Sus scrofa: one gene and its partners. The protein of the gene in region 1 interacts with the protein of each later gene in a pairwise test. Links are inferred from orthologs where the notes say so. Each region holds a gene or a part of one and is shown in the gene's direction. Other genes may lie near its edges.

Region 1 (3,164 bases):
GCAAAGACCCTCTCCAAATAAGGTCGCACTCGGGTGCTGGGGATTAGGGTTTCAACATGGATTTGAGGTGTGAGAGGGACACAACTCAACCCAAAATGTAACCTAAAAATGAATGGCAATAAAATCCAACGCCAGCAACATGGTTACCCGTGGGCATCTTGAGATTTTGCAGAAAACCCAGGCAGCTCTGTCCTTACCTTCGATCACCCAGGAACCCCTGCTGGGGGCCCAGGGTCGGTGTTGGGGAGGGGGGCGTGTGAACAGGGGACAAAGTCCGGGTGGAAGAGCTGAGTGCTCTGACCACAGGTGAAGCCAAGGACCCTCCGAGGTCCCCAGACCCTGGTGTGGAAGGACCTGCCTCTTGACGAGGCCTCAGCAGGGAGGGGGAGTGCAGGGGATTCGTTCCTCTCCCACCCCCGCCGCAGTGGGTATCTGGCAATGTCTGGAAACAGTTTTGTGACAGCTGGTCGGGGGGCACTTACTGACAGCTCCTTGTAGGTGGGGGCTGCATTTCTGTGACCCGAGTCCTTCAGAGAAAAAGAACCGCCTGGGGCAGGGTCAGCTGGAGCCTCTGGGTGGGGGCGGCCGTTCCAGAGCTCAGGCCCCTCCAGCCCTGCCAGGGGGCGGTCAGCTCTGGCTTCAGTGGATCCCGCTGCATAGAGGGGTTTCTAACGCCTCTCCTGGTCCTGTCTTGGTAACTTCTCGAACATCCGGCTGAGTGAGGCCTGGGTGGCTTGGAGAAAGACCCTCTAGGCAAGAATAATCCCCACTTCACCCAACCCACAGGTCCGTCTCGACAGATGATGACCAGTGAAAATCCACCAAAGGGTTTTAAGCAGCCTCACCCTGGGCCACTTGAAATGAAATTTGAGTCACCAACTAAGCGGCCTGCTGCAGACCCTGCATTTAGAAGGGTGTGCCGGGACCGTGGAACTGCCACCCCTTCTCAAGGCATCGCATGGCACATTGTTTTTTGTTGGGTTTTAAGTGGCAGGCACACAGCCTACCTCTCAGCCAAAGAGAATAAATTATTTGAGGGTCTTTAATCCTTAACCCCCCCCAAAGCCCTCCCTGTCTTTTCCAGGCTCGGGAATCTGAAGTCATTGCCCAGGTCACAGCTAACGGGTGACCATGGTTCAAGCCCAAGGCAGCCTCTGGTCCAAGCTGTTGACACTGCAGTGGCAGACCGCCTTTCTAGCCGGGCTGCGTCACCCTGGTGACAGGTCCGGGTTCTTGACCTGGAGGGGGGCCTGGGTCTGCTGGGGACATGCAGCTGTGCGCCGGGCAAGGGGCTGGGGCTGCCCAGGTCTCGCGCTCCCCGCCGACTGGGTGCCCGGAGCTGTCGGGTCCGGCAGCACCTTCTCTGTGGCTCCCGGAAGCTGCTGCCCAGGCGGGAGCTGTCCTCACCCCCTCTCCCGCCCCCAGTTCCCTGACATCGTGGAGTTCAGCGAGACCATGGCCAACGAAGGCAAGACCGTGATTGTGGCCGCCTTGGACGGGACCTTCCAGAGGAAGGTAAGGCGTCCGGGCCTGGGACCCGGGAGGCGGGGGGCCGGGGCCGTGCAGAGACGGGCTCCTGGGGCCGCGGACCGGGTCCGCCGGCTGCAGGCGCCGGGCTCTGGGGAAGGCCAGGGCAGGGCCTCGGTCCCTGGCTTCCGTGCTGGGAGGCAGCCTTTCCGGGAAAGGGCGAGCTGAGAGCGCCCGTCTCTGGTGGGACCGCAGGCTTTCGGGAGCATCTTGAACCTGGTGCCCCTGGCCGAGAGCGTGGTGAAGCTGACGGCCGTGTGCATGGAGTGCTTCCGGGAGGCCGCCTACACCAAGAGGCTGGGCGTGGAGAAAGAGGTAGCTGCCCTGCCTTCTCCCGGGGGCGCGGGCGGGCGGGGCGGGGGCCGCCGCGCCCCCCTCAGTCCAGGCACCTGGTGTCCCGTGTCCAGGTCGAGGTGATCGGAGGAGCGGACAAGTACCACTCCGTGTGCCGCCTCTGCTACTTCAAGAAGACAGGGCTGCCCATCGGGCTGGACAGCAAGGAGAACAGAGAGAACGGCCTGGCGCTGGGCGTCAGGAGGCTGTTCGGCCCCCATCAGCTCCTGCAGTGCAGCCAGGCCAACTGAGGCGCCGGCCCGCCGCTGAGCCCCGGAGGCCGCCTGCGCCCCAGGAGGAAGCGGGGGCGGTTGTCCAGCACCAGGAGCTGCCCGCCCTTCCGGCCGAGGCCGGCGGTCTGCTCGGCACACTTCCCTCCTGGGCCGCCCGCTGGCCTCTCTCAGTTCCCGTCCCCGCTGCTGGGCCGCTGCTCACAGGCCGCCCCAGGCCGGAGCTGGCAGCTCCGTGGCGAGGGGTCTGGCCCCGGCAGACGTCCCCTCCGCTCCCCCGGGGTGAGGCTGGAGCCACAGCCGCTGACAGGGGTGCTGCTGGCCTCTTCCCCCTTTGTGGCTTTGGCTGCCGAGTTTCTGTTCTTGCTGGGAAGCCCGAGCCCCCACCTCTGGCTGGCACCGAGCCTCTCGCGCACACAGACTGAGCCCCTCTGAGGACAGCCAGACTGGGGCACTCTCACTTCCCTGTGGCCTGCAAGCCCTTCCGGGGCTCAGCTCCCAGGGCTCCTCTTTTAGGGAAGGGCTGTGGCCTTCTGTCAAGTTCTCTGCCATGAATAACCACCTGGAAAAGTTACTGTGTGGTGAGAGCACATTCTCAAACCGCCTGGGGCTTCCCGGGCCTCGCCGCGGAGAGCGCTGACGTGATTCGGGTGCGGGGATTTCTCTCCAGTTCTTTTTCTAGTTCCGCTGTCTCTTCGCCGCAACCGGTTTTGGCTGAGAGACGGCCATGAGGCGTGTCCAGAGAAGCTTTCCTGGCTCTTCTGTCTGGTTGGGCATCCAGACAAGAAGGGTAGATGGAGCCCGGGGCCCAGGCTGGAAAGATGAGGCTTTGGTCCGTGCTGCCAGCTCGTGCTGCGAGGCCAGAGTTTGTGAACAGACACTTGACAGTCCAGGAGCCAAGAAGCCCAGCTCTGCTGTGCCTCGGAAAACCGGGCTGTGGGCGGCTTGTGTGGAGGCGAGGCTGCACCGCAGGGGGTGCCAGGCTCCCCATCCTCCCGGCTGCTCCCTCCCCCTTGGCTCTGCTTGGTCCCAGGTTCCAGAGGTGCAGTGCAAGGGTCAGACTGATTCCCAAAC
Region 2 (3,500 bases), on another chromosome or scaffold:
CAAGCTGCTGCAGTCAGAAAAAGAAAAATTCTTATTCACAAACTGTTTTTAGCCCGTGCTATTTTAAAATTTATTTCCCTCATCCCCTTCATTACAGCTTCGTGAAGCTATGGCTGCCTTAAGAAAGTCGGCTCAAGATGTCCAGAAGTTCATGGATGCCGTCAACAAGAAGAGCAGTTCCCAGGATCTTCACAAAGGTTAGGGTCAAGAGGTTCCTAAGTATAGGGAGGGGTCATGAATTCCTACAGAGATTTCATGGGTGACTGGTTTTGTTTTGGCATTTCAGAATCCTTCACCTCTCTTGAGTTCTTTTAACACCACAGGTTTTCCTTGCTATCTACTTAAGTCTTTTGTCTGCTCGGTTTCCAAATACCGTTTTAGCTCCATGTTTATGATCTCTTCTTCCAGGTGCAGGTTAGAGAGAAGACAGTGACTCAAAACTCTTAAAAAGAGGTGTGGCAAAGCTTTGTAGAATGGTGCTGTTAAGAGATCTCTCTCAGGAAAATGTTTTATAAATGTTATTTGACATTTAATGAGGGGTAATGTTATTAATAAGGAGTTTGAATTATTTGGTTAAAATGAGATGTTCTTGAATTACATTCAGTTATTCAAGTTTTTCCTGTTAGTATAAACAGTCCAGTCGGCTGTGTCATATATTTTTGCCCTTGACCAAGACAGCAGTAAAAGTGGCTGTGGATCAAAGGTTACCCAATTTGCCACAGTAACCAAGTACCCTCTTTATTTTTCCATTCTCTCTCCAGTCTATGCTATATCTCTTTAGAACAACGTTGATTTTTTTCCTAGGAACCTTGAGTCAGATGACTGGAGAGTTGACCAAAGATGGTGACCTGACAGTCGGCATGCGCATACTGGGCAAGAAGAGAACTAAGACATGGCACAAAGGCACCCTTATTGCCATCCAGACAGTTGGTATGTTCAAGCTAGAGGAAGAACTAATGAAAGACAACCTGCAGGTCTCCATTGCTGATTGTTTCTTTCCCCAACAGTCTTGCCTTTTGTGTCTCACATAGCAACCCGAATTCACACGGAAACTTATGGTTTTTAAAAACTTTGTTTATCTTTCTCTTTTACTCAGGGCCAGGAAAGAAGTACAAGGTGAAATTTGACAACAAAGGAAAGAGTCTACTGTCAGGGAACCATATTGCCTATGACCACCACCCTCCTGTTGACAAGCTGTATGTGGGCAGTCGAGTAGTGGCCAAATACAAAGATGGGAATCAGGTCTGGCTCTATGCTGGCATTGTAGCTGAGACACCAAACGTCAAAAACAAGAACAGGTACCTGGACAGAGGAATGTAAAGAGAGGAGAAGCCAAGAGCACAGCACCTGCCCTGTTCAAGCCATAGTCCAGATCTCACAATTAGCTTTTGCCTTCTTAGTCCCCAGTGGCCAGAAAACCTTTCTCTTTCTTTGCCACAGGAGTCATGTTGGGTGGTGATTCTTTCTCACCACTTCCCCCCCTTTTTTTCCCTTTTCTCAAGAAGAAAACTCAGTAGGTGGAGAATAATCAAGATTGATTAATGGTTAGGGGAATAGAGAATTCATATAGAAGGAAAAAAATGGAGACTAAATGTTTTTCAGCAGTGTAGAAATCTGTTAGTATAACAAGACCAAATAGCTTTTGAGAAAGTGGGGATATGTTGGTAAGCTTAAGGGAGAATTCTTAACTCGGGATGGGAGGAAAGAATGCTAGAAGAAAGTATTTCACTGGAACATCTTCCCTGGAGTGTGTCCTGTTTATAATCCAGAGGAGTAGAAGCTATGATCAGATAATTTCTTTAGGTCGTGTTAAAAATCATAACCTCTGATCTTTCTACCATCACTCTTTCCGTTCAGGTTTCTCATTTTCTTTGATGATGGCTACGCTTCCTATGTTACCGAGTCTGAACTGTATCCCATTTGCCGGCCACGTGAGTGTCCCTCCTTTCTTCCTTATTAGTTCTTTCCATTTCCTTCTCTACCTTGTATTTCTTCTTAAGACAATTAACTAAAAAGCCCAGGGTTCTCATGTGCCGCAGTGGGATAAGGATCTGGCGTTGTTACTGCAGTGGCTTGGGTCGCTGCTGTGGCAGGTTCCATCCTTGGCCCAGGAACTGCCACATGCTCTAATGTTTTGGGTGCTTTAGTCTCAAAGAGCCTAAGTTTGATTAACATCCTTTGAGAAATACAGTTTTATTTGCTCACCTCTAGTGCTGGGTCTTTGCAGCCAAAGAGTGAGACTTTAGAAAATCATGACTGACCTTGAGTGGATGTTCATATTGTAGAAGTGTTTTGATTTCATTTCTAAGTGATTTAGGTTTGAGAAAATGTTACTTCTCTAGTCTCATGCTTAATCTAACATTTATATAAACCTGTAGTCTGCATGGTGCTTTCTAGAGAAGCTGTGTTAGATGGGGTGTCCTCTATACTTATGACTCTAGCTTGGGAGAGACTCTTGCTGAAGCAACTGTTTTTAATTGTAGAAGAGTCAGCTAACATGTCTATGTTTCCACATAACATGCATAAATACATTCAGGGTCTGAAAAACCTGATAGAGCTTGAGAAGAAAGGGCAGTTTTTGTTTTTCGTTGTTTTTTTTTTTTTTAATTCATGGTGCTGCCTGATTCTTTTTTGATTTACCTTTAGGCTTATCAAGTTAGCAAGAATTTCCATTTGACTTTTCCTAAGAAGAAACATCCATTTTTGTGAAAACAAGTGACCCACCTATGTTTGCATATTGCTTATTTGGTATTTACTTAATTTGCATGTGCTTTTACACAATAAGTGTATTACATTTCAGGTGGTCTTGGTTTTGCTTCCCTTGAGATTATGATTTCTTCATTTATTTTTTCTCTCCCTCTCAACTTGAAAAATACCAAATATCTCCTTGCCAACTATTTTTTCCTATCAAGACATGCCCTACCTGCCCTCTCTCAGCCTTGCTTCTTCCTTGGGACAGTGAAAAAGACTTGGGAGGACATAGAAGACATCTCCTGCCGAGACTTCATAGAGGAGTATATCACTGCTTACCCCAACCGCCCCATGGTGCTGCTCAAGAGTGGCCAGCTCATCAAGACTGAGTGGGAAGGCACATGGTGGAAGTCCCGAGTCGAGGAGGTGGACGGCAGCCTAGTCAGGATCCTCTTCCTGGTACTCTTCTTCTGAAGAGTTTTGGAGGCAGGGGTCTGGGTGGGATGGAGGAGCACAAGGCAACAATAATAAGGACGTGAGGACGCAGGTTTGATCTCTGGCCTCCCTCTGTGGGTTAAGGACCCAGCATTGCCGTGAGCTGTGGTGTAGGTTGCAGAGGTCGCTTGGATCTGGCGTTGTTGTGGCTGTGGCGTAGGCCAGCAGCTACAGCTTCAATTCGACCCCTAGCCTGAGAACCTCCATGAGCTGTAGGTGTGGCCCTGAAAAGACAAAAAAATAGTAATAGGATGATTTTGTAGCTGTGCCATATTTTTCCCTCTTTCTTATCCTCTTACCTTTTCTCACTGTTT
Region 3 (3,500 bases), on another chromosome or scaffold:
CTAACCCCACGTGCTCTCCCTGAAAGCCTTGTTCTGTGCATTCAGATCCTAATTCGTTTCTGGGATGTTCTCTTGCTGCCCAAGGATACTCCGTTCAATGCTCGTGATGCCAAGTCCTGCCCTTGAACCTCCTCATTTCCAAGGGACCCTCCAATCCCACTTCCTCTTCCAGAACCCCTTCAAACTTCACTTTCTGTTCCTCAGACCCTCCTTCCTGCCCCTCCAGCCCACCTCCCTCCATTTCCTAACTTTTATACCATCTTCCTCGTACCCTCTACTCACCTTGTCTCCTGGGCCCCACCTTTCCTAACAACTGCAGCTTTTCCTCCTCCCCACCTTCTTTGCCAAGACTCCCACTTCCTGTCTTCTGTACATCTTTTCTTTGCATCCTGCTTCCCCTCCCGTTTCCTTCCTTCTGTGGCCCAATTCCTGGTCCTCATACCCTGTTTCCCATCCATTGTATCTGCTACTTTTCCTTGGACCCTATGAACCTTCCTCCTTCCCCCTGCCTCGGTTTCCCCATCTCCAGCCTACACGGCTCAGTTCATCCGTCATACTCGCTCCCCCACAGGTGCAGACCCACCTTCAAGTCATCGAGGAACGGATGAATCAGAGCCTGGGGCTGCTTGACCAGAACCCCCTCCTGGCCCAGGAGCTGCGGCCCCAGATCCGTGAGTACCCAAGTCCTGACCCCCAGCCTTTGGCTCACCCCCCCGGCCACTTCAGTTACCTCTCTCTCTGTGTAACAAACCCCAGAACTTAGTGCCTTAAATCACCCATTTTCTTTCCTCACGATTCTGCTGGCAGGTCCGGGTTCTGCTGGTCTTGTCACTAGTCAAGCATGTAGTTATGTCTGGCTAGCGGATCAGCTAGGGTCTGGGACTCTGGGACACATGAGCCTCTCTTCCTCTCCGTGGAGACTCAGGGCCTCTCTTCTCCATGGAGCCTTTCCATATGGTCTCTCTAGCGGGGCACCTGGACTTCCTATGTGTGGTTCAGGCTCCCCCAAGCACAAAAGTGGGAACTGCCAGGCCTTCTTAAGGCTTGTGCCCGCATTCTGTTGGCTAAAGCAAGTCATAAACCCAGTCTAGATTCAAGCAACAGGGCCTACACAAGAGCATAAATATCAGAAAGTGTGACCCACCACAGCCCCCAGGTCTATTGTGGCTTCCTCCTGGATGGAGGTCCCATGCTCAACCCTAATCCTCCTGCTCATTAAGGAGGCCATTCCCTTGAGCTTCCACCTCCATCTTTGTCCATTCAGCTCCCCGCTTCCCTAGATCCCATGGGTGGCTACCCCCCCCACCCTTCTGTTAGGGCGCCATCCATCCACCCAGTTCTGTTCCATGGCTCCCTATGCTCACCTTTCTGCGTGCTCCCCCCAGAGGAACTCCTCCGCTCTGAACACCTGGGTCCCAGTGAATTGGAAGCCCCCGCCCCGGGGGGCAGCAGTGAGGACAAGAGTGGGCTGCAGCCTCTGGACGCCAAGGATGGTGCGTTAACCCAGACTGAGACAATCCTGGACTTTGGGACACAGGCCCCTGGGCTCAATTCTCATCCCGTAAAGTCTGGAGGTGTCTTAGCCACCACAGTAAGAGAGAGAGGGTGGAAGGGAGCAGTGAGGTTGGGAGGACTCTGTGGGGTCCTTGGTCCTCCTTGCTTGGCCTCTGGGAGAGGGTCTCCCCTCAGCCTCCTCAGTGATGCTCCCCTCCCTTCACTGTTCCACCCCTCTTGCCTCCTCTGGCTGCCAGCAGACACCCCCGTGGCCCTTCCAAAAGGTGAGTGCCTCACAGAGCAGCCCCCTGCCATCAAACCCCTCTGAGTCCTTGAGCCTAGAATGGAAAAGGACCTGTACCCTGGGACCCCCAGGCCTGCTGAAGGGGGGGGGGTCCGGTGCCCCTTCTGACCCCCTCCTCAGGCGGGGGTGGCTGTGAGGAATGAGATAGGATTCGGGGGGCAGGGTCCACAGAACAAGATGCTGCATCCTCTGGAAAAGAGAAGCCGACCCCCCAGGAGCAGTACGATCGAAAGGTCAGTCAATCAGAACTGCACAGGCGCCTGAGGGAGGACCAGAGGGGGCCTGGGCTGAAGGAGGTGGGTGGGAGGGGTTGGGATTCTGTGGCCTGAGGGGAGAAGGGACTGAGGATATGGACTTTGGGGTCCTAGGGAAGAATAAGGCTGGAAGGGGGGGTGCCCTCTTGGGGCCCAGGGGAGGAGGAGTCGGGGGCCCTGACTCCTGGGTCCCTGACACCTCCTGCTCCCGCAGGTGAACATGTCGGTTCCAAGGGGTTTTCCTTTCCACTCATCGGAGATTCAGAGGGATGAGCTGGTAAGAGGAGGAATATTCTGGGTACCTAGGGGGAGGGTCGGAGGTCAGTGACTAGGTTGTGACTCCCAAAGCCACCACAGAGCCCTGGTGAGCCTCAAAGATGACCCTGGTCGCATCTCCTCTCCCTACAGGCCCCAGCCGGGACAGGCGTGTCCCGAGAGGCCGTGTCCGGTCTGCTGATCATGGGAGCAGGTGGGGGCTCCCTGATTGTCCTCTCCTTGCTGCTCTTGCGCAGGAAGAAGCCCTACGGGGCCATCAGCCACGGGGTGGTTGAGGTGAGAGGCACAAAGACCTGGACTGGGGAGGAGTTCCAGGGCCTGGGCGTGGCGGGGCTGTGAGATCTATGCCCCCTTGTCCCCTGCCCCTACTGCAGGTGGACCCCATGCTGACCCTGGAGGAGCAGCAGCTTCGTGAACTGCAGCGTCATGGCTACGAGAACCCCACCTACCGCTTCCTGGAGGAACGACCCTGAACCAGCCCCCTTCACCCCTTCGGCTGAGCCCAAACCTTCCCTCTTCCTGGAGCCCCAGAACCCCGACTCCCAGCCTGGAGGGAGGGGGTCTGGAAAAACTTCATTTCACACTTATTGTGAGGAGGCTGGAAATTCTTATTTCCCCTTTCCAATTCCAAATTCCATCCCTAAGAAACCCCCAGGTAGTCCCAGCCGCCTCCCCACTGGGGACCTCCTCAGCTTAATTTGTTTTGTATGTTAATTTATTGTCCCTTAAGCTTGGTCCTAGTGTTTGTTGTTCCCTGGAGTCCCCCACTAACATCCCAATAAAAGTCCTCTTCCCCACCAGGCCATCCTGCGTCTCTGTGTGTGAGCAGCTCTGCACGTTGGTGTGCGAATCTGCCCTTTTAAACTGTAGAGAGATCTTTAAATCTGGGCAGGCTCTTCAGAGGGGCGGGGTCTAGAAAGCCAGCCTCTTGGCCAGGAGCTTTCCGTGGTGCTGACTTCTTTTTTTTTTTTTTTTTTTTTGTCTTTTTAGGGCTGCTTACCGTGGCATATTGAGGTTCCCAGGCTGGGGGTCCAATCGGAGCTTCCGGCCTATGCCAGAGCCACAGCAACGCGGATCCGAGCCGCATTTGCAACCTACACCACAACTCAGGCAAGGCCAGATCCTTAACCCACTGAGAAAGGGCAGGGATCGAACCCACAACCTCATGGTTC
Region 4 (4,188 bases), on another chromosome or scaffold:
TAGAAAAGGAGTTACAGAGAAGTAGCTAAAATGGAAAAGGGAGATATTTGAAATTATTGCAAACTGTTGAAATTACTGCAAACCAGTGGGTACTATGCATTCAGGATTTTCGAAGATTTCAAACAGCCTATCCTTTTAGCCCCTTAAGCAAGCACGCTCAAACTCGTAAACCAGGTGTCTCCACTTTACAATTAGGAAAATACAGATGTTGCATCTCTGTAACCATGCAAGTGTTAGAGCTATGAACCGCCACAACCACAAGGTGCAGAGCGCAAGTGAAAACAGAGGTTCAAGGAATTCTAACTACCTATGACCAAGTATGCATACTCCCACAGCACATTCCTGGAGCACCCCGGAGGTGTTTGGAGACACAGGAAGAAGGTTCATATTAATCTATCCCGCTCGTGGGACACAGGGCTCCACCTCTGTTAACCAATAGAGACTTCACAAACCAAGTCCGCCCCTCTTTCTGAAGGCCGGGACCACAGCCATGCAAGCACCTGGAAATCGCTGGCAGGAAAAACGTTTTCTAATAATGAAACAAAACAGAACAGAATCCCAAAAGACAAACAAACCCGACTTCTCAAGAGCTTTTCCAACCTGGAGTGAGGAATAGTTGAACGAAGAGGGAGAATATCGGGGCGTTTCAAAGCCCAGTTCCGGCGAGTAAAAGACCTGGAATACAGCAGGTCAACTCAAAGAAGCCGTGCTGCACTAGACGTGATGTGGCTGTCAAGAGCGCCCAGGCCAGCCCTGCCCGCAAGGGGTCCTCAGTGTGGCCTCTGAACCGGTCGGCGGGGCTGGGAAAGCAGCCCTAATCCCGCCGCCGGGAGAGGCCTGAGCGGCCGCTGCGTCCCTAAAAGGCCTGGGTCTCGGCCGACCGCAGACTGGCCAGCAGCTGTCCCAAGTCGGTGGTGAGAGCCCGGCACCAAGCGGGCGCCTTACCTGCAGCAGGTGTAGCTGGGCCACAAGGCGCCGCGGCAAGTGGAGGAAGCAGTCGCGAGCGTTGGTGAAGGCCACCGTCACGGCCGCCCCGCCTCCGCCAGCACCCGCCAGGCGATCGCCGCCCCACATTGTCTGCAGGCACCGACCCCCAGCCGCCCAACCTATCTTTCCCGGGCCAACCCCGCAGGTCGCGGGCGTCGGACCCGGAGACGATCGATCGGCCCCGCCCCCTAAGGCCCCGCGGCGCATCCGGAGCGGGAGGGGCCAGCACGCCTGCGCCTGTTCTCAGGGCCTTTCCGCCGCGCCGCTGGGGGGCGACACGTTCTTCACCAAATCCTCGCTCACAGGAAACGATGGCCGACGGTGTCGATTCTTCAGCCAATCTCGGAACGCCTTAACTCACCCCTCTCTCTTATTGGGTAAACGGTGGGGCAACGGGGCGGATGTTGTCGTTCGCGAGGGATAACACCGGCAAGATGGCGTTGAGCGGCGGGCAGCTAGGAGGCTTATTCGATCACCACGTCCAAAGGGCTGTATGCGACTCGCGGGCCAAGTATCGAGAGGGGCGCCGCCCTCGCGCTGTCAGGGTAAAGTGACTTTGGTTTCAATCGCTATCCCCGGTAGCTTTCTGTGAGTTCCAGCTTCACATGCCCAGCTTACGTAAATAACATCTTGAGAGGCTGCGGTCACATCGATTAACTGAAGAAGAATATGAAAAACGCTGGTACTCAAGTACCAAAGATGCTTGAGTGCTCTTTAGTCTACTGCTAGAACCTCAGCTCCGTGAGAAGAGGGCTGTGTTTCAGTCACTGTATCTTCCGTGTTTACAGTGGTCCTTGTTACATGGTAAACGCTCAGCGAATACTTGTTAACTCGTCCCTGTAACTTCTACCGAGCTAATTTGTGGAAAACACATTGATGGAAGATAATGTTACGTGCTTTAGCTAAAGGCCTTTGCAAGAAGGGTAAACTATTCATTATGTAGAGAGAGGGGCAAGTTTTTAGATTTCCTGTTTTTATGCAAACCAGTCGAAAGGTGTTTTTTTCAACTTTAAAAAAATATAGGATTAGATTTGTCCCAGGCTTCTTTGTGAAATACATTTAATGTGTCTGATTTCTTATAGGTTTACACGATCAATTTGGAATCTCGGTACTTATTAATACAAGGAGTTCCTGCAGTCGGAGCCATGAAGGAATTAGTTGAGCGATTTGCTTTGTATGGTGCAATTGAACAGTATAATGCTCTAGATGAATACCCAGCAGAAGACTTTACAGAAGTTTATCTTATTAAATTTCTCAATTTACAAAGTGCAAGGTAATATGCAAGTTAAACAGTGTCTCATTTTCTCCATTCCCGTTGCCTACATTTGGCCTCCCTCATTCATTTCTGAATTACCCAGTAACTAACATGACCCTGTATTCTTCTAGTCTTTTTAAATGTTAGCCCTACCAAACTCTTTCTATCACGTCATTCCCATGCTTAACAATTTTTTTGTGTGTGTAGTATGGTAGATTAAAAATTGGTTTGGGAGTAAATTTTCAAGTTTCACTGTTTACTAACATCATGACCATGGACAGGTTACTTGACCCCATTAAGACTGTTTTCTTATTCTTTAGACACCAGTATGGTAAAAGGACCTACTTACGGAGGTTGTGTGAGGATGACATGGATCCATGTATAGGGCTTAGCACAGTGCCTTCTATTCAGAAGGCAGTAAACATTAGGTATTGGATCTCTTATTTTATGGACCTGTGTAATTGAATCTCCTTCTATATAACATAAAATTTTCTCCAACAATTAAGTACGAAATGCCCTATCTCTTTTTTCCCTCATTTTAAAAAATGAAAGTGTTGATTTACAACCTTTCAGGTGTACAGCAAAGTGTTTCAGTTATACACACACACACACATATACCTATTTGTGTGTGTATACACACACACATTCCTTTTCAAATTATTTTCCTTTATAAGTTATTGCAGGATATTGAATAGAGTTCCCTGTGCTAACCAGTAGGTCCTTGTTGTTTATCTGTTTTACATATAGTAGTGTGTAGCTGTTAATCCCAAATCCCCAATTTAACCCTCTTCTTCCTTTCTACTTGGGGCCTTGGCTCTTTTTATGTTGACTCCTATTCTTATTGATAGGCTCCAAGACCCATCTTCTCTTGGCTGTTAGAATTCATATTTTCTTTTCTGTGCTACAGATAGCCCTTGTAGTCTTTCTGCCATAAATCACTTGGGTTAATGTCATCGTGTGTTGTTCTCAGGTTGCCGTTATATATAATCTCACTACCCTAACCAATTTGTCAGCTCCTCATGGTTAGGGATATTTTCTCATTGTGTATTTTAAGGAGTTTTGCATCTCTCACTCCACCTGGTACAGTAGGTCATGCAGTGTGACATCTGGATTTGAATCTTAGCTCCAAAAGCTAATGTGAGAATGGCCAAGTTATAAATCTCTCTAGGCTTCAGTTTCATCAGAGGGTTGTTGTGTTAATTCAAGAGAAGCACTTAAGCACTTTGGTCACTGCCTGGGATGTGGTAAAATCTCAGTAAGTATTTATCATTTTCCCTGGGCACTGAAGTGCTTATTTATTGTAGTAATTCCTGGCCAGTCACAGATGTTTAAAAATTATTTGTTGAATGAATACCATTCTCATTGATTGTTATATATTCAATATTTCCTCCATTATTGAATGTTACAATTTCAATATTTTATTAATTTCTTAAATATGAATCCCATTATAGGAACACATTGTGCCAAAAAGGCTAAAATAAGTATGAGCTAACGCTCAAGAGCCATTTAACATAGAGAAAAATCTCTATTTCATAACCACAGATTGTGTACCTCAGGCCAACCAGCTGGATCCAGTATTGGTTAAAGGGAGTCTGGATAGGTATGGATGACTTGAAACCTATTAAGACTAGGGAGAGGGAAAGAAAGGCTCTAAGAGTAGGCACTGGATCAGTAGAGTCATGCTGTCCACAAGCAGAAATTCTTATTCCCTAAGTATAAGATGTATATACACTTGGCAAAACCTGGACTTTGCTTTTTATTTATTTTTTTGCTTTTTAGGGCCACACTGCGGCACATAGAAGTTCCTAGGCTAGGGGTTGAATCGGAGCTACAGTTGCTGGCACAGCAAGGCGGGATCTGCGATATACACCACAGCTGTGTCTGCGATATACACCACAGCTCACAGTGCCAGATCTCCAACCCATTGAGCAAGGCCAGGGATCAAA
Region 5 (4,243 bases), on another chromosome or scaffold:
GAGTCGGGGTGCGGGGCAGCGTGCTCTCTGCCTTTTAAGCAAAGGTTATCATCCTGCGGGCTAAACTTAGCCACAGGCTTTTCAGCTGGAAAAGGGGGCTGGTCTCAGGTTACGCTGGGCCAGCAAAGAGGCCCCAATTCCTTCCACCAGCACCTGCTAATGGGCAACGTCCATTCCACCCTCCCCCCACCTTCCCTGAACCTTCAACACTTCAAGTCCTCAGAACCAACCCATCTTTCATCCTCTGCTCACAAACCTGGCCCAGCCCCAGCTTCTGAGGGACTGGTCTTGGAGAAGAATGGATTTCCTCCTCCACATCACGTCTGGGAAGGGGCTAGGGGCCCTTGTCCCCACCCTGTGTCCAAGACCTCCCAATCTTTTCCCTCTTATGGACACCTCACCCTGCCCCCAACATCCCCTGGGCGCAGCCAGTGAAAGGGAGGCCCTGACTGCAGGGCTGGCCTGCACGTCCCAGGATGGGGAGGGACTTCCGCTCTCACGTCCTGCTCTGCCCAGGGCTGGATGGGGTGAAAGGGACATTGTCTCCCAGCCCGGGCCGCTCAGCCCTCAAATTTCCCAGGAGCAACTTTGTGGGAGACCTCTGAGCCTCTACCTGGCCAGCCCCCCAAAGCGATCCTGTCCCCTCGCTGAGGCCCCAGCCAGCCAGGGCCTGGGGGAGAGCAGCTGGTGCACACAGGTCCTGGTTTGTCTGCTCGATTCTCAGATGTCCAGGCTGCCTGTCCTGCAGGGCATCGTGACCTTCAGTGCAGAAACTTCCCTCTCAGGCCTCCTTCCGAGCCTCCTTCCTCTCCAGGCCTCCCACTGGCCAGGGCCAGCCGCGGTCCCCAGCCCGGGGAGGCCAGGAGCCAAGAGAAGGGGAGGGGGGAAAGGGGAAGGGGGCTGGAGAGGGCCTTGCTGGAGGCCCCTCCCGGGCCTTTTCCTCTGTAGTTCCTGGGTCACTACCGAAGAGCCTCGAGAAGTTCCTCAATCTTCCCGCTTCTCAGCTTTTGAAGGGGGGGGGGTAGGGGAGACTGCAGCCGCGAGCTGCGAGCCGCGCCCCCAACCCCGGGTTCCGCTCCAATTTCCCATCCCACTGGCTCCCCATATCCTCCCGTTACATCCCTGCAGCAACTTTAACGTCCCTGGCTCCTTGGGTGTCCTCAGTTTTCGCCAGGGCCCCCTCCTCCTAGTCCACTGCCCCCTGCAGTACAACCCCAACCGGGCCAGGCAGCATCACCGGTCCCCTCCCCCTCTCCGTCCTCAGCCCACTTGTGTGGCGCGTGCACATTGGCAGAACCAGGCGGGTCCAAAGGAAAAAAAAAGAAGAAGTGGGGGTCGGCTACTCGCGACTTTACGGGCGCACGTAGCTCAGGCCTCCGCTGCTGGAGCTAGGACTGGGCGAGGCGAGCCCACGTCACCCCGCCCCCGCCCCGCCCCCTGCCCTATAAATTCCGGCTGCAGCCTTCCCCTGCGCTCTCTGCTCCTCCCCGTTCGACAGACAGCCGTGTGTTCCGTGCATTGCCAGGTAAAGCCTGGCGGAGTGGAGCCACAAGGGTTCGAGGACTGGTCCGAAAGGGACCGGGGGCCGTGCGCGGTCTGGGAGTGTGGGTGCGGGGCCCCGGCTGGAGCCGGAGTTGTGGCTGCGCCGGGCCGGGCCCCTGCATTGCGGGTTGAGGGGGAGGAAGGACGTGCAGAAGAGCAGAGCGAGGATGGAGGCCTGGGGGAGGGGCGGGGAGGGCACCGTCGGGCTCCAGCCGCTTTGCCCCGCGATCTAATGTTCTCTTTCCTCTGCCGGCAGCCGCGTCCCTGAGACACGATGGTGAAGGTCGGAGTGAACGGGTGAGTTAGGGGGTGGGGCAGGGTGGGGCAGTAAGTACTGCAGCCCCCACCAAATTGCGTCCGCAGGTCTCGCCCTACCGGGTCTGTGCAAGCATGTGGGGGACTTGGATGGGGTGGTCGTACCCCACCCCCAAGGAGAACTCAAGGTCAGCGCTCGGACCTGGAGGAGGCCCTCGCAAGGCCTCGTGTCCCCCATCCCTGGCTGTTGCGCGTTCTGTAACTCCGCCTCTGCGGAGCCTTCCTCTTCACCTGCCGCAGATACACAGCCCTGGAGTCTCCAATTCTTGCTTTGGCCCCATCCCCTAATCCCCCAGCTGGGGCTCTTTCTTTCCTTTCGCGCCCTGCGGGGTCACGTGAAGGGGAGGAGCCCATCCCCCCAGCCGCAACCAGTGCCCCCAGCCGGGCAGCCCCGGGATGCAGGAGGCACAGCTGCTGTGCAGAACCAGCTGGGAGGGGGCATCTGCGGTAACCTAGCCGCCATGTTGCAACTAGGAAGGAAATGAATGAACCGCCGTTAGGAAATCTTCCTGAGTCCTTCAATCTTTCTCCTTACTTGCCCATGACTAAGCCTTCTACCCCTGCCTCGTGGGGTGGAGTCTCCTTTATCCGGTAACCCAGGTCCGGCCACGCTTTCCCCTTCTTAGTCAGCTGGACCTCAGCTCTTAGCAAACTAACCCTAGAGCATCCCTTCAAGCCCCAGCCAGATTCCCCCCCCCGGGGATGAGGGGATGCTTTTTCTGGATGGTTCTCTGATGAATCAAAAACGGGGCTTTATGGGGGTGGTCTTGGGTTGTTTCCGGGTTGTTTCCCTTCTCTTTCTCCGGAGAGGTGTGGTAGCGTTGGCTTGGTGCCATGCCGGGGGAGCTGAGTCATGGGTACTTAGAAATTTTCCACAAAATGGCTCCCGGAGCCGGCGGAGCCGCAGCCCCTGTCTCTGCATCAGTGCTCCTTGAAGCTGCTTCCTTCCATCCATGCCTAGGGTTGACCCCACCCTAAAGGCCAAGCTGTAAAGGTCACCAGGAGGATTAGATGTCCGTGAGCCTCGGGAATCCTGCCCTTCTCCCCATCCCCTCTTCCAGAAACCAGATCCCCACTCCACCCTAAGCTGGGGTTAAATATAGCTGCCTGACCTTTCTGCAGCTGGGGGCCTGGGCTTCTCCCTCTCCTTCCCCCCCGCTCCCCACACGTCTATTGCTCCCACTCCTGATTTTGGGAAAAGAGCTAACAAAGACAGGTTCCTAACAAATCAGAAGCCCGGGATTCTGGGTTTGAGAAACGGCTTTCCCTTTTGTAGGAGGGACTTGGGGAAGGGGGGGGGTTTCCCTGGCCAGTTAACTTCTGACCTTTGCTCTTGCCCTTTGAGCTGGGTGATGCCAAGTGTGCAAGATTTTGCTCCCTAGAGGGTGTGGCCTGAAGCTGGCCAGATAGGAACAAGCATTTACCGACAGTGGGCCTGAGGAATGCCATGTGCCGGCCATGTGCCCAGACTGTAGGTGGCAGCAGCAGTGCACCACCCTGTCACCCCTTAACAGATTTCAGATGACCAGGGGGTGTGGGCCTGTCTCGGAGCTTCATCACCTCTTGGGCAGGATGGGAGCTTTTCACTTTGTGGCTGTGCTGGGAAGCCAGGCTGGTCTGGCAGGGTTGTGCGAGGAGGAGGAAATGAGATCTCCTGGTAGGAAAGTGCCCGCGCTGACAGCGGGCGCGTGGGCCTGGGACTGCTTACATCTCCAGGAGAGCTCACTCCTCCCTCCTCGCCTCTTGTCCCCCTCAGATTTGGCCGCATCGGGCGCCTGGTCACCAGGGCTGCTTTTAACTCTGGCAAAGTGGACATTGTCGCCATCAATGACCCCTTCATTGACCTCCACTACATGGTGAGTGGCCCCCGTGGCGGGGGCGGGGACAGAGCCTGCCAGGGCGCAGCCCCTTGATGCCCTCCCTCGTCCCCCCCAGGTCTACATGTTCCAGTATGATTCCACCCACGGCAAGTTCCACGGCACAGTCAAGGCGGAGAACGGGAAGCTTGTCATCAATGGAAAGGCCATCACCATCTTCCAGGAGTAAGTATGGAAGACGGAACCGGAAGAGCTTTGCCTTGGAGGAGGTGGTGCTGGGACGGGGTGACCACCTTGGGTCTGTGGTCCCCCGCGCCCCTGAACTTTGTCCTGTCTTCCCTTCTAGGCGAGATCCCGCCAACATCAAATGGGGTGATGCTGGTGCTACGTATGTTGTGGAGTCCACTGGTGTCTTCACGACCATGGAGAAGGCCGGGGTGAGCGGCAGGGAACCGAAAGAGGAGGGGACCTAACCGCGGGGTTGGTGTAGCGGGGAGACTGGGGGAGGCTGACTTGGACCAGGAAAGGGGAAGCCCGGGTGTCTGACTGCTCCTCTGCTGCAGGCTCAC
Region 6 (3,956 bases), on another chromosome or scaffold:
GCTTAATATTTATAATACAGCATCACCTTAGATTTTATGGGGGTATTGCTGCTCCTTAAACTTGACCCGCTTTCATATAGAGCTGCTCATTTCCGACTCACAAAGCTGGCTGCGGGGCACCTGTAATTACCACCACTTTATAGCTGGAGAAACTGGCCCCAGAGAGGAAAGGAGCAGTCCCAGGGCCCTGCACACCTGGCCCCCTGCTCAGGATGGGCGGGGACAGTAACTAAGGCTGGGTCTTGCCTCACCCTGACCAAGCCTTTCCAACTCACCGGGGCTTTCTCTTTGTAGAAGGAAGCGAGACATGGTCACTTACTAGCTCTGCAGCTGGTCATCTCTTTAGCCTCTTTTCCCAAAGCCGTGAGGCTGGGATGGTCATCACGTTTCCGGAGGACGGAAGTGCGAGAGTTAAAATTCTCCAGTAGCCACTGTAAATACTGCAGCATGTAAAATGCTATGCACTACTTTACGTGCTTTCAACTTCTTCGGCCTACGAAGTCCCACGCGGATTTTACATGAAGGACATTTCAACTCGGATTCCCACGTTTCAGGAGATCAATGGCCACGTGTGCCGGATGGCCTGGAGCTGGACTTCGAGCTCTAAAGGGAGCCCTGGGGATTAGGTGACAGAACGTGCGGAGGGCGCACGCGCTTCGGCGGCCGCCTGGCTGGCACATCGTCTCTCCGCCACGCACGTTCGCGGAATTTTCCACGTGTCGCGGCCTTCACAAGGACCCCACACCCAAAGCTGACATGAGACAGACCCAGCGCCCACTCGTCCTAGCCCCTGCCAAACCCAGCACCTTCCTTAGGGGGGCAGAGGCGAAAGGGCCCCACCCTACCCTCCTCGCCTGGCCCCCTTCTCTGCGCCCTGCGCCCGCCCCGGGCGTTACACCCAGACCAGAAAGAGCCCGAGGTCCAGGACTCAGGACCCTGCCGGGAGGCAAGGAACCGAGGAGCGCCGCAGACTCCAGAGAAAATTCTGGGCTGCGGCTCCGAGGGGCGCGCGCCGCCGCCCCGAGGCCCAGCGCGGCCCACCCCGGCCCGCACCTCGCGCCGCGCCCCGGCTCCCCCTCGCGGTGCCGCAGTCCCCGCCGCCCCGCCGCCCCCGCGCCCCGCCCGCTGACGTCACCGCGCGGGGGGCGGGGCCCCTGCTATAAAAGGCGCGGCCGAGGGGCGGCCGCAGGTCTCTGCGTCGGAGTTTGCCGGTCTGCCCCACGCAATTCAGGGCCCGCGCTTCCACCAGCTCCGCAGCCGGCATCATGCGCGAGATCGTGCACATCCAGGCGGGCCAGTGCGGCAACCAGATCGGCGCCAAGGTGGGCGCCGGGGACGGGTCCCGAGAGTGTACGCTGCGGGGGGGCGCTGTGAGCAGGGGACAGCGAAACCCGGTGTGCAGGGCCGGGATGGGGCGCGGGTCCACAGGCTGAGGACCACGGGAGGGTCAGGAGGGGGTGGCGGGTCCCCAGGGTGCGCGTCGGGGCCCGGGAGGGGCCGGCGGTTCCCGAGGGTGCGCGCAGGGGAGGGGGCGACGTGTCCCAAGGGCGAGGGCTCAGAGGAGCCCGGGTTCCCAGGGTGAGGACCGAGGAGGGGTCAGGAGAGGGTGGCGGACCCCCAGGGAGCACCCTGGGGCCCGAGAGGGGCTGGGGAGCGGGCGGCAGCCCGGATGGCGCGTTCTCGGCGCGCGCGCTCGCCGGGCGGGGCCCAGGAACCACACAACCTGCCCCGATGCGCTTGGCCACGCAGCTGTGTGTGCCTTTAATCAAGGCCCTTTGAAATTTCCTCTGACCCGGCCCTTCTGCGGGACGGGGTTGCTATTTCCCTGGTAGAATGCCCTCTGAGCGTTGGCTAGGGGCTGCTGTCACATTAATCCAGGGACCGTGTGGAATTTAATTCGTGTATCTTGTCTATAGCTTGAATGAAAAAAATGCAGTGTCATTGGGTGACAGATGTTGTGGAGAACTCTCCTGGGCCCCACAGGCGAGGTTAGATCTCTCTATGCCAGCACCATCTAGACGGGATGACATATAACGTCTGAGTCTGATTCCGTCTGCGAGGCGGCAGGTGGCCGTCCGGAGCTGTGGCTGGCGCCCGCCGTGGGCGAGGCCCGGCGGCTTGGTGCATGGGGGTGGGCGGGCGCCTGCCCAAGGACGTGGGCTCTCTCAGGGCCGCCATATTGCCCACCCCGGGCTCCCGCCCCTTCCCTGCTGCAAATTCATGATGCAGCCTGCACCCTCACCTTCGCCAGCTCCGGCCACTGCCCCCAGGGGGGCCCCCAGCTCTGCCCGCCCCTCCCCGCCATCCTGCTGCTGCCGCTGCTGAGGGCAGTGCAGATGTCAGAGCTGAGCTGCGCTGCTGGGGGGCTGGGTCCCATCTGTGCCAGGAGACAGGGATGCCTGCAGGCAGCCACAGGGCGGGGTCCCAATGGTCCTGGGTCCTGCCAGGACCCGTCCATCCTCCACCAGGCTGACACGCAGCCCTGCCCGGGGGTGGCGGCCTCCCCAGCACCCACGATTCCCCTGGAAGGGCGTCTGCTGTGCCCACCCCCCCTCCTTCGGGCCCCTCCCGGCTCCTCAGTCTGTCGCCATATTATGGCTCATGCCCTGCGGATTCCCAAGCCCTGAGCAGCAGCCGCTGGAGGAACGGGGCGGGCAGCTGGCAGTCTGTCTAGGACACCTCGACTGTCAGCCCACACGCCCCTGCGGCAAGGACGTGAGGACGCAAAGGGCCCGCCTTACCGGCACCTAGGATGCCAGGCCATCACGTGGTTCCCCTTTTCTCCCCAGTTTTGGGAGGTCATCAGCGACGAGCATGGCATCGACCCCACTGGCAGTTACCATGGCGACAGCGACTTGCAGCTGGAGAGGATCAACGTGTACTACAATGAAGCCGCTGGTGACTGCTGGGACCCGGGGGCCCCTCCGCTTGCTTTCTGTTCTGGGGGGACGCCACGTCCGTCCTGCCCGCCTCCACCCTGAGCGCCCGCTGCTCGGGAGCACACGTCCTAAGGCCCCTGCATGCTTGTCACGACCGAGCAAAGCCATCAGCCCCCTCGTAGAGCAGAAACCTCCTCGCAGCTCCCCCGGTGCCTCGGGCTGGCACCTTCTGGGGTGAATTCTGCCGCCAAAGGCGCACAGGGCAGGGCGTCGTCCGGGCCTCCTCGGCCAACCGCAGGTCTAAGGCCAGCTCTGTCCCCACAGGTAACAAGTATGTGCCCCGGGCCATCCTGGTGGATCTGGAGCCGGGCACCATGGACTCGGTCAGGTCTGGACCCTTCGGCCAGATCTTCAGGCCCGACAACTTTGTGTTCGGTACGTAGCCACGACCCCTGGGCGCTGGCTCCGCGGGTCTCCTTCCTCCCCAGCCCCGTGGGGCTCACAGCTCTCCCGGCTCAAGGCCGAGGTGGACACCGTGTGTCCACAGGGAGCCCTCGGCCCTGACGTCACGGCCCCGGGCCCGGAGCTGCCCCTCGTCCAGCCCCTCTCAGTGCAGCCCAAAGGCCGGGTCACCTGCAGGGGCTGCCTCGGCCCCGCCCCCAGAGCAGCCTGGGAGGGGCTTGGAAGGAAGAGCCAAGGAGAGCTTCCCAGAGCAGGTGGCTGGTCCTTCGAGAGAAGCAGTGAGAAGCAAGTGCTTCTAGAGGCCCAGGCCCGAGGCCCAGGTGACGGGCAGGCGCCAAGACTGCGGCCGAGAGCCGGTTCTGCCTGCCTGGTCACTGTCGCTGAGTTAACTATTTACAGAAGGTTCTTAGTTTAACAAAACACAACTGTTTTAAAATTAACAATCTTAATAATCTCAAATGTACTAAACTCCCTTTTTGTTTTATTAGATCCTTAGTGTTTTTTGAGGATCATATATGGAAAATTTTTCTGTAGATAAAGAGAGGCTCTAAAAGCGAAGAATCTGTCATCTCTAAAACAGGTCCAGAGGTAAAATGAGAGAATTTGCCATTACCA
Region 7 (4,113 bases), on another chromosome or scaffold:
TGCAAAGAAAAATCTCAGCAGATTCCTGGTGCAAAAACATAAGATTTTGTTGAGACTGTGTATCACAAGCTAACTTTTCCCTCTGCCCAATTTTGCTCCCTTTTCTTCCCTTCCACACTGATCCCTAATAAACTTCCTGTACATCAAATTATATCTCAAGATTCCGCTTCCAAGGGAAGCCAATAAGCGACAATGAAACTCATTTATAAGAAGTGCTGATGTATGTGAGGACAAGCCAAACTGCAAAGTAAGAAATGAATAGTGAGAAAATTGAACAAGCCAAGAATGGGCAACTCATTCAAGTAATTTTGCGTTCACAGACAGAAATATGACCAAAACCAAGACAGTGTAAGGAGAGTTCTCCCATGGTACAGCAGTTAAAGATCCTGCATTGTCACTGCAGCAGCTTTTGTTTTTGCTGTGGTGTTGGTTCAATCCCTGACCCAGGAACTTCCGCATGCCATGTGCGTGACAGAAAGGAAGAAAAAAAAAGAAAAAAAAAAAAGACAGTATTACGGGCTCACCACCCTGACTCCTAGTACTGAGATATCGGAATGAAAGATAAATGCCAGTTAGACATACAGGATTCGGTATCAGTAAAATTAACTTTTACTAAAGAGTAAACAATAAGTATTACTTTCTATATCAGGACAAGATCTTTCATCAGTATTAGCTCATTAAGGAGTTAGGAGAATGAGTAACCTTCATTTTTAAGGGACAAAAATAAACCTGGAACTTGGCTACTTTATGTCAGTTTCCCAAATTTTAACAGTATGAGTCAGTTTACATCCTTACTGCCTATAGCTGATAAAACTGGATCTTCTAAAGCACTCCTCCCACAACTTCCGTCTAGCCCCAGCTAAATTAGAATGTCTACCTCTTAAACCTGAGACTTAAACCACTTCTTGGATAGCTGATTTGACTTCTTAGAAAAACTTATGAGAAATTTTTATCCAGGGATCCAGATAAAGATGCAAAAAATAAGCCTATGTGGGCAATTAAATTTTTTGAGACTGAAAACCTACGATAATAATTTCGCGTGAGGTATAAGGATGGGGTGGAGGGCAAGGGGAGGATAAGTCTCGAGGCAAAGACTGAAGAAAGCGGATAAAATCGAGAAACCCTCAGGAAGTAGCAATAATACGGGCGCTGGCCATAGGCAGGCGTCTAAAATTCTCTTACGCAAAGAATGCGTATGTCTCCAAACGAGCCTTCTGTTAGCTTTTAAATCTGGTAGGAGAGGAAAACTTGCACCAACGGCGAATATAAAAGCAGAAAATTTACGACTGACCCCGGAAACATTTTATTTTGCGTAGATATCTGGAGAATTTTCTTTTGCGATTCGTTACTTGATCCGGAAGGAGACATAGCAAATGTCACCTGTGATTGGGTCATAGCATAAAGGCGGGGCCTTAGCGAGCCAGTCACCTTGGCAACAGGATGTGACGGTGCCGGAAACCGCCAGGCCAGCTTTGCTCCCGCTGGCGGCTTCGGTGGGCGGGGTCGGCCGAGACGGTCCGGCTGATCTTCATCAGAGGCTCGGCACCGACAGAGGCGGTGCCATTAAGGCCACGCCTCCCGCCTGATTCCGGATGCCTGCGGAGCGAAGTCCTAGGCTCTAACGGGGCGGAGACTCGGGCTTGTTCTCTTAGAGGCTAGTGCCGGTCCCACCCCGTAAGTCACTTCGGTTCTTCCGGTTTCTGGTGGCTGCGCCGCCTCCCTCCGAAGCCTGAGGATACGCCCTCTCGGGAGCCTGTTGTCGCCCTCCTTTCTGCTTCAAGCCCCCCTGAGTTGCTCAGGCGCAACTCCAGCCAAACATTCTGTCGCTCTGGTTCTCGGCCCTTGGAGACCTCGACCCCCATATACTGCCCCCTTTCCTGGACGTACTGGCCCCTCCCACCCCTCTAAAATGTCCAATAACCTACGGAGGGTCTTCCTGAAATCTGCAGAGGAAAAGTCAGGCAGCGCCTCGCATTGGTAAGTACCGGTTTCGAATCTCCGGCGACACACCCGCCCCTCGCCCGTCTCTTAGCAGGATGTGGAGTCGGCCGCCGTTTCCTGACGTTCTGCAGTTCAGATGCCTTTGATCCCGCCGGGTGAGCACTCTAGGGGGAGTGCGCGGCGCTTCGGCTTTTAGAGCCCTTAGAGCCGCTCCCTCTTGGAAACATAAACCCTCTAGAGAGTCTGTGACACAGACAGCCTCTGCCTTGGCTCCGCAGCCCTCCAGCGCCTGAAGTTTCATAGGCTGACTGAGTAGATCTCCACAGGAGAGGAAAATCAACATGGCCGGCGCTCCTGTGTGACCCACATCATCTGGAAGATTCTCGCGCACTCGCAGAAAAACACGCAGCCGTCAGCGCGGATTAGCAAGTGCAGCACGGGTTGCGCTGGACCTTCAGGGAAAATAGCTGTAATTAAAGAGAGTTAGTGAGAAGGGAAGGCTTTTATTTTTGTGTAATTGACAAAAGTATATGAATATAGAACCTGAAAAATTGTTCTGGAATAAGGGAATCGATTTTTTAAATTTTCGAATACTAGTTTTATTTGAAGATAAAGAGAAGTAAAAATAGAGAAATTATCATGTAAAATCAACCTTTTGGAACAGCAGTATTTGAAGCAGGTGTATTGAGAATGCCATCTCGAATCGGATGTATACGTAGAGGAACTACGTTTGAAGGGGAGAGTCCAGCATTTCTTAGAAGGACACTTATTTGTAAATTTAGACAATGGTTTATCACTAACTCAGTAGTTTTTTAAGCCTATATTAATCAAGATGAAATGAAGCTGGAACAAAATTGTTAGCTAAGGTAGAATATTTTGAGTTGTAATCTGCCTGGTTTGTGGGTATATAATAAATGGTGAGAGGAAAGCTAATGAGTCTCTGCAGAAGGAACATGTGAAGAAGAAACATGGAGAAGGAGATAAAAATCATGGAAGAGCATTTATGTTTGAAGAAAACCAGGCTTGCTAAGTTTAATCCTCGCTTTGCTGGTTAACTATTTGTGAGGCCAAGTGACTTGGTTTTCAGTTGGCCAATAAAACCACCTGAGGGTATTTTAAGGATAAAAGAATGAATATACTAAAATACTTAAAATGTAAGAGCATTATTTAAATGTTAGTTATGTATTATTATCATAAGATCACAACTTTTCTTTCTGTACAAATTTTAGCCCAGGAAGTAAGTAGATACAAGTAGATGCAAAACGTAATTGGGCCGTGAGCTGCCTTGTAGGTCACAGACACGGCCTGGATGTGGCATTGCTGTGGCTGTGGTGTAGGCTGGCAGCTCCAATTGGACCCCTAGCCTGGGAACTTCCATATACCACGGGTATGGCCCTATAAAGAAAAAAAAAAAGGGAGAAAAAAAAAAGGAAGCGAAAACAACAACAAGGAGTTTACATCGTGGCCCAGTGGTTAACAAATCCGACTAGGAACCATGAGGTTGCGGGTTAGATCCCTGGCCTTGCTCAGTGGATTAAGGATCCTGCGTTGCCATGAGCTGCGGTGTAGGTTGCAGACACCACTGGGATCCCACGTTGCTGTGGCTCTGGCGTAGGCTGGCGGCTACAGTTCCGATTAGACCCCTAGCCTGGGAACCTTCATATGCTGTGGGAGCAGCCCTAGAAAAGGCAAAAAGACAAAAAACAAAAAACAAAAAAAACAAAAAAAACCCACAACAACAAGAAACCCTAATTGTAATAAACACTTTTAAAAACTTGCATAATATTCTAAAAAGAAACAGTTGAGGAGTTCCCGTGTGGCGCAGCAGAAATGAATCTGACTAGGAACCATGAGGCTGCAGGTTCGAATCCCTGGCCTTGCTCAGTGGGTTAAAGATCCGGTGTTCCTGTGAGCTGTGGTGTAGGTTGCAGATGCTGCTCGGATCTGATGTTGCTGTGGCTGTGGCATAGGCCCGTGGCTACAGCTCTGATTGGACCCCTAGCCTGGGAACCTCCATATGTCACAGGTGGGGCCCTAAAAAGCCAAAAAAAGAAAAGAAACAGTCACCAAAAGTGGTGAGATAAAGCCATTATTGAAGAACTGCCAAGAAGGAAGCATTGTATTTCAGATTGTAACAAGAGCCAGATTTTGTACATGTATGTTTTTTGTTGG

The links.
Region 2: the proteins of TK1 (region 1) and SETDB1 interact in a two-hybrid assay, tested with the Homo sapiens proteins (2 studies listed by BioGRID and IntAct). The link is inferred for Sus scrofa from reciprocal best matches to the Homo sapiens genes TK1 and SETDB1.
Region 3: the proteins of TK1 (region 1) and APLP1 interact in a two-hybrid assay, tested with the Homo sapiens proteins (2 studies listed by BioGRID and IntAct). The link is inferred for Sus scrofa from reciprocal best matches to the Homo sapiens genes TK1 and APLP1.
Region 4: the proteins of TK1 (region 1) and RBM48 interact in a two-hybrid assay, tested with the Homo sapiens proteins (2 studies listed by BioGRID and IntAct). The link is inferred for Sus scrofa from reciprocal best matches to the Homo sapiens genes TK1 and RBM48.
Region 5: the proteins of TK1 (region 1) and GAPDH interact in a two-hybrid assay, tested with the Homo sapiens proteins (2 studies listed by BioGRID and IntAct). The link is inferred for Sus scrofa from reciprocal best matches to the Homo sapiens genes TK1 and GAPDH.
Region 6: the proteins of TK1 (region 1) and tubulin beta-2A chain interact in a two-hybrid assay, tested with the Homo sapiens proteins (2 studies listed by BioGRID and IntAct). The link is inferred for Sus scrofa from reciprocal best matches to the Homo sapiens genes TK1 and TUBB2A.
Region 7: the proteins of TK1 (region 1) and LRIF1 interact in a two-hybrid assay, tested with the Homo sapiens proteins (2 studies listed by BioGRID and IntAct). The link is inferred for Sus scrofa from reciprocal best matches to the Homo sapiens genes TK1 and LRIF1.

What each region holds. Positions count from the first base shown.
Region 1 is NC_010454.4:3,792,161-3,795,324, forward strand, and holds the end of TK1 (thymidine kinase, cytosolic), read left to right. Parts: intron 1-1,425; coding exon 1,426-1,515; intron 1,516-1,722; coding exon 1,723-1,842; intron 1,843-1,934; coding exon 1,935-2,111; 3' UTR 2,112-2,664; downstream 2,665-3,164. UniProt on the Homo sapiens protein: Cell-cycle-regulated enzyme of importance in nucleotide metabolism. Catalyzes the first enzymatic step in the salvage pathway converting thymidine into thymidine monophosphate.
Region 2 is NC_010446.5:98,276,239-98,279,738, reverse strand, and holds part of SETDB1 (histone-lysine N-methyltransferase SETDB1), read left to right. Parts: intron 1-97; coding exon 98-197; intron 198-804; coding exon 805-930; intron 931-1,096; coding exon 1,097-1,298; intron 1,299-1,857; coding exon 1,858-1,931; intron 1,932-2,959; coding exon 2,960-3,150; intron 3,151-3,500. UniProt on the Homo sapiens protein: Histone methyltransferase that specifically trimethylates 'Lys-9' of histone H3. H3 'Lys-9' trimethylation represents a specific tag for epigenetic transcriptional repression by recruiting HP1 (CBX1, CBX3 and/or CBX5) proteins to methylated histones.
Region 3 is NC_010448.4:45,292,225-45,295,724, forward strand, and holds the end of APLP1 (amyloid-like protein 1), read left to right. Parts: intron 1-571; coding exon 572-671; intron 672-1,385; coding exon 1,386-1,493; intron 1,494-1,751; coding exon 1,752-1,778; intron 1,779-1,960; coding exon 1,961-2,031; intron 2,032-2,266; coding exon 2,267-2,329; intron 2,330-2,460; coding exon 2,461-2,604; intron 2,605-2,702; coding exon 2,703-2,801; 3' UTR 2,802-3,125; downstream 3,126-3,500. UniProt on the Homo sapiens protein: May play a role in postsynaptic function. The C-terminal gamma-secretase processed fragment, ALID1, activates transcription activation through APBB1 (Fe65) binding. Couples to JIP signal transduction through C-terminal binding.
Region 4 is NC_010451.4:72,443,423-72,447,610, forward strand, and holds the start of RBM48 (RNA-binding protein 48), read left to right. Parts: upstream 1-1,388; coding exon 1,389-1,532; intron 1,533-2,069; coding exon 2,070-2,260; intron 2,261-4,188. Other genes in the region: PEX1 (peroxisome biogenesis factor 1), read right to left, coding at 946-1,194. UniProt on the Homo sapiens protein: As a component of the minor spliceosome, involved in the splicing of U12-type introns in pre-mRNAs.
Region 5 is NC_010447.5:64,131,221-64,135,463, reverse strand, and holds the start of GAPDH (glyceraldehyde-3-phosphate dehydrogenase), read left to right. Parts: upstream 1-1,443; 5' UTR 1,444-1,525; intron 1,526-1,798; 5' UTR 1,799-1,816; coding exon 1,817-1,839; exon of another isoform or gene 1,840-1,932; coding exon of another isoform or gene 1,933-1,985; exon of another isoform or gene 1,986-3,613; coding exon 3,614-3,713; intron 3,714-3,792; coding exon 3,793-3,899; intron 3,900-4,020; coding exon 4,021-4,111; exon of another isoform or gene 4,112-4,237; coding exon 4,238-4,243. UniProt on the Homo sapiens protein: Has both glyceraldehyde-3-phosphate dehydrogenase and nitrosylase activities, thereby playing a role in glycolysis and nuclear functions, respectively.
Region 6 is NC_010449.5:1,911,869-1,915,824, reverse strand, and holds the start of tubulin beta-2A chain, read left to right. Parts: upstream 1-1,156; 5' UTR 1,157-1,265; coding exon 1,266-1,322; intron 1,323-2,789; coding exon 2,790-2,898; intron 2,899-3,203; coding exon 3,204-3,314; intron 3,315-3,956. UniProt on the Homo sapiens protein: Tubulin is the major constituent of microtubules, a cylinder consisting of laterally associated linear protofilaments composed of alpha- and beta-tubulin heterodimers.
Region 7 is NC_010446.5:109,270,253-109,274,365, forward strand, and holds the start of LRIF1 (ligand-dependent nuclear receptor-interacting factor 1), read left to right. Parts: upstream 1-1,313; 5' UTR 1,314-1,909; coding exon 1,910-1,977; intron 1,978-4,113. UniProt on the Homo sapiens protein: Together with SMCHD1, involved in chromosome X inactivation in females by promoting the compaction of heterochromatin.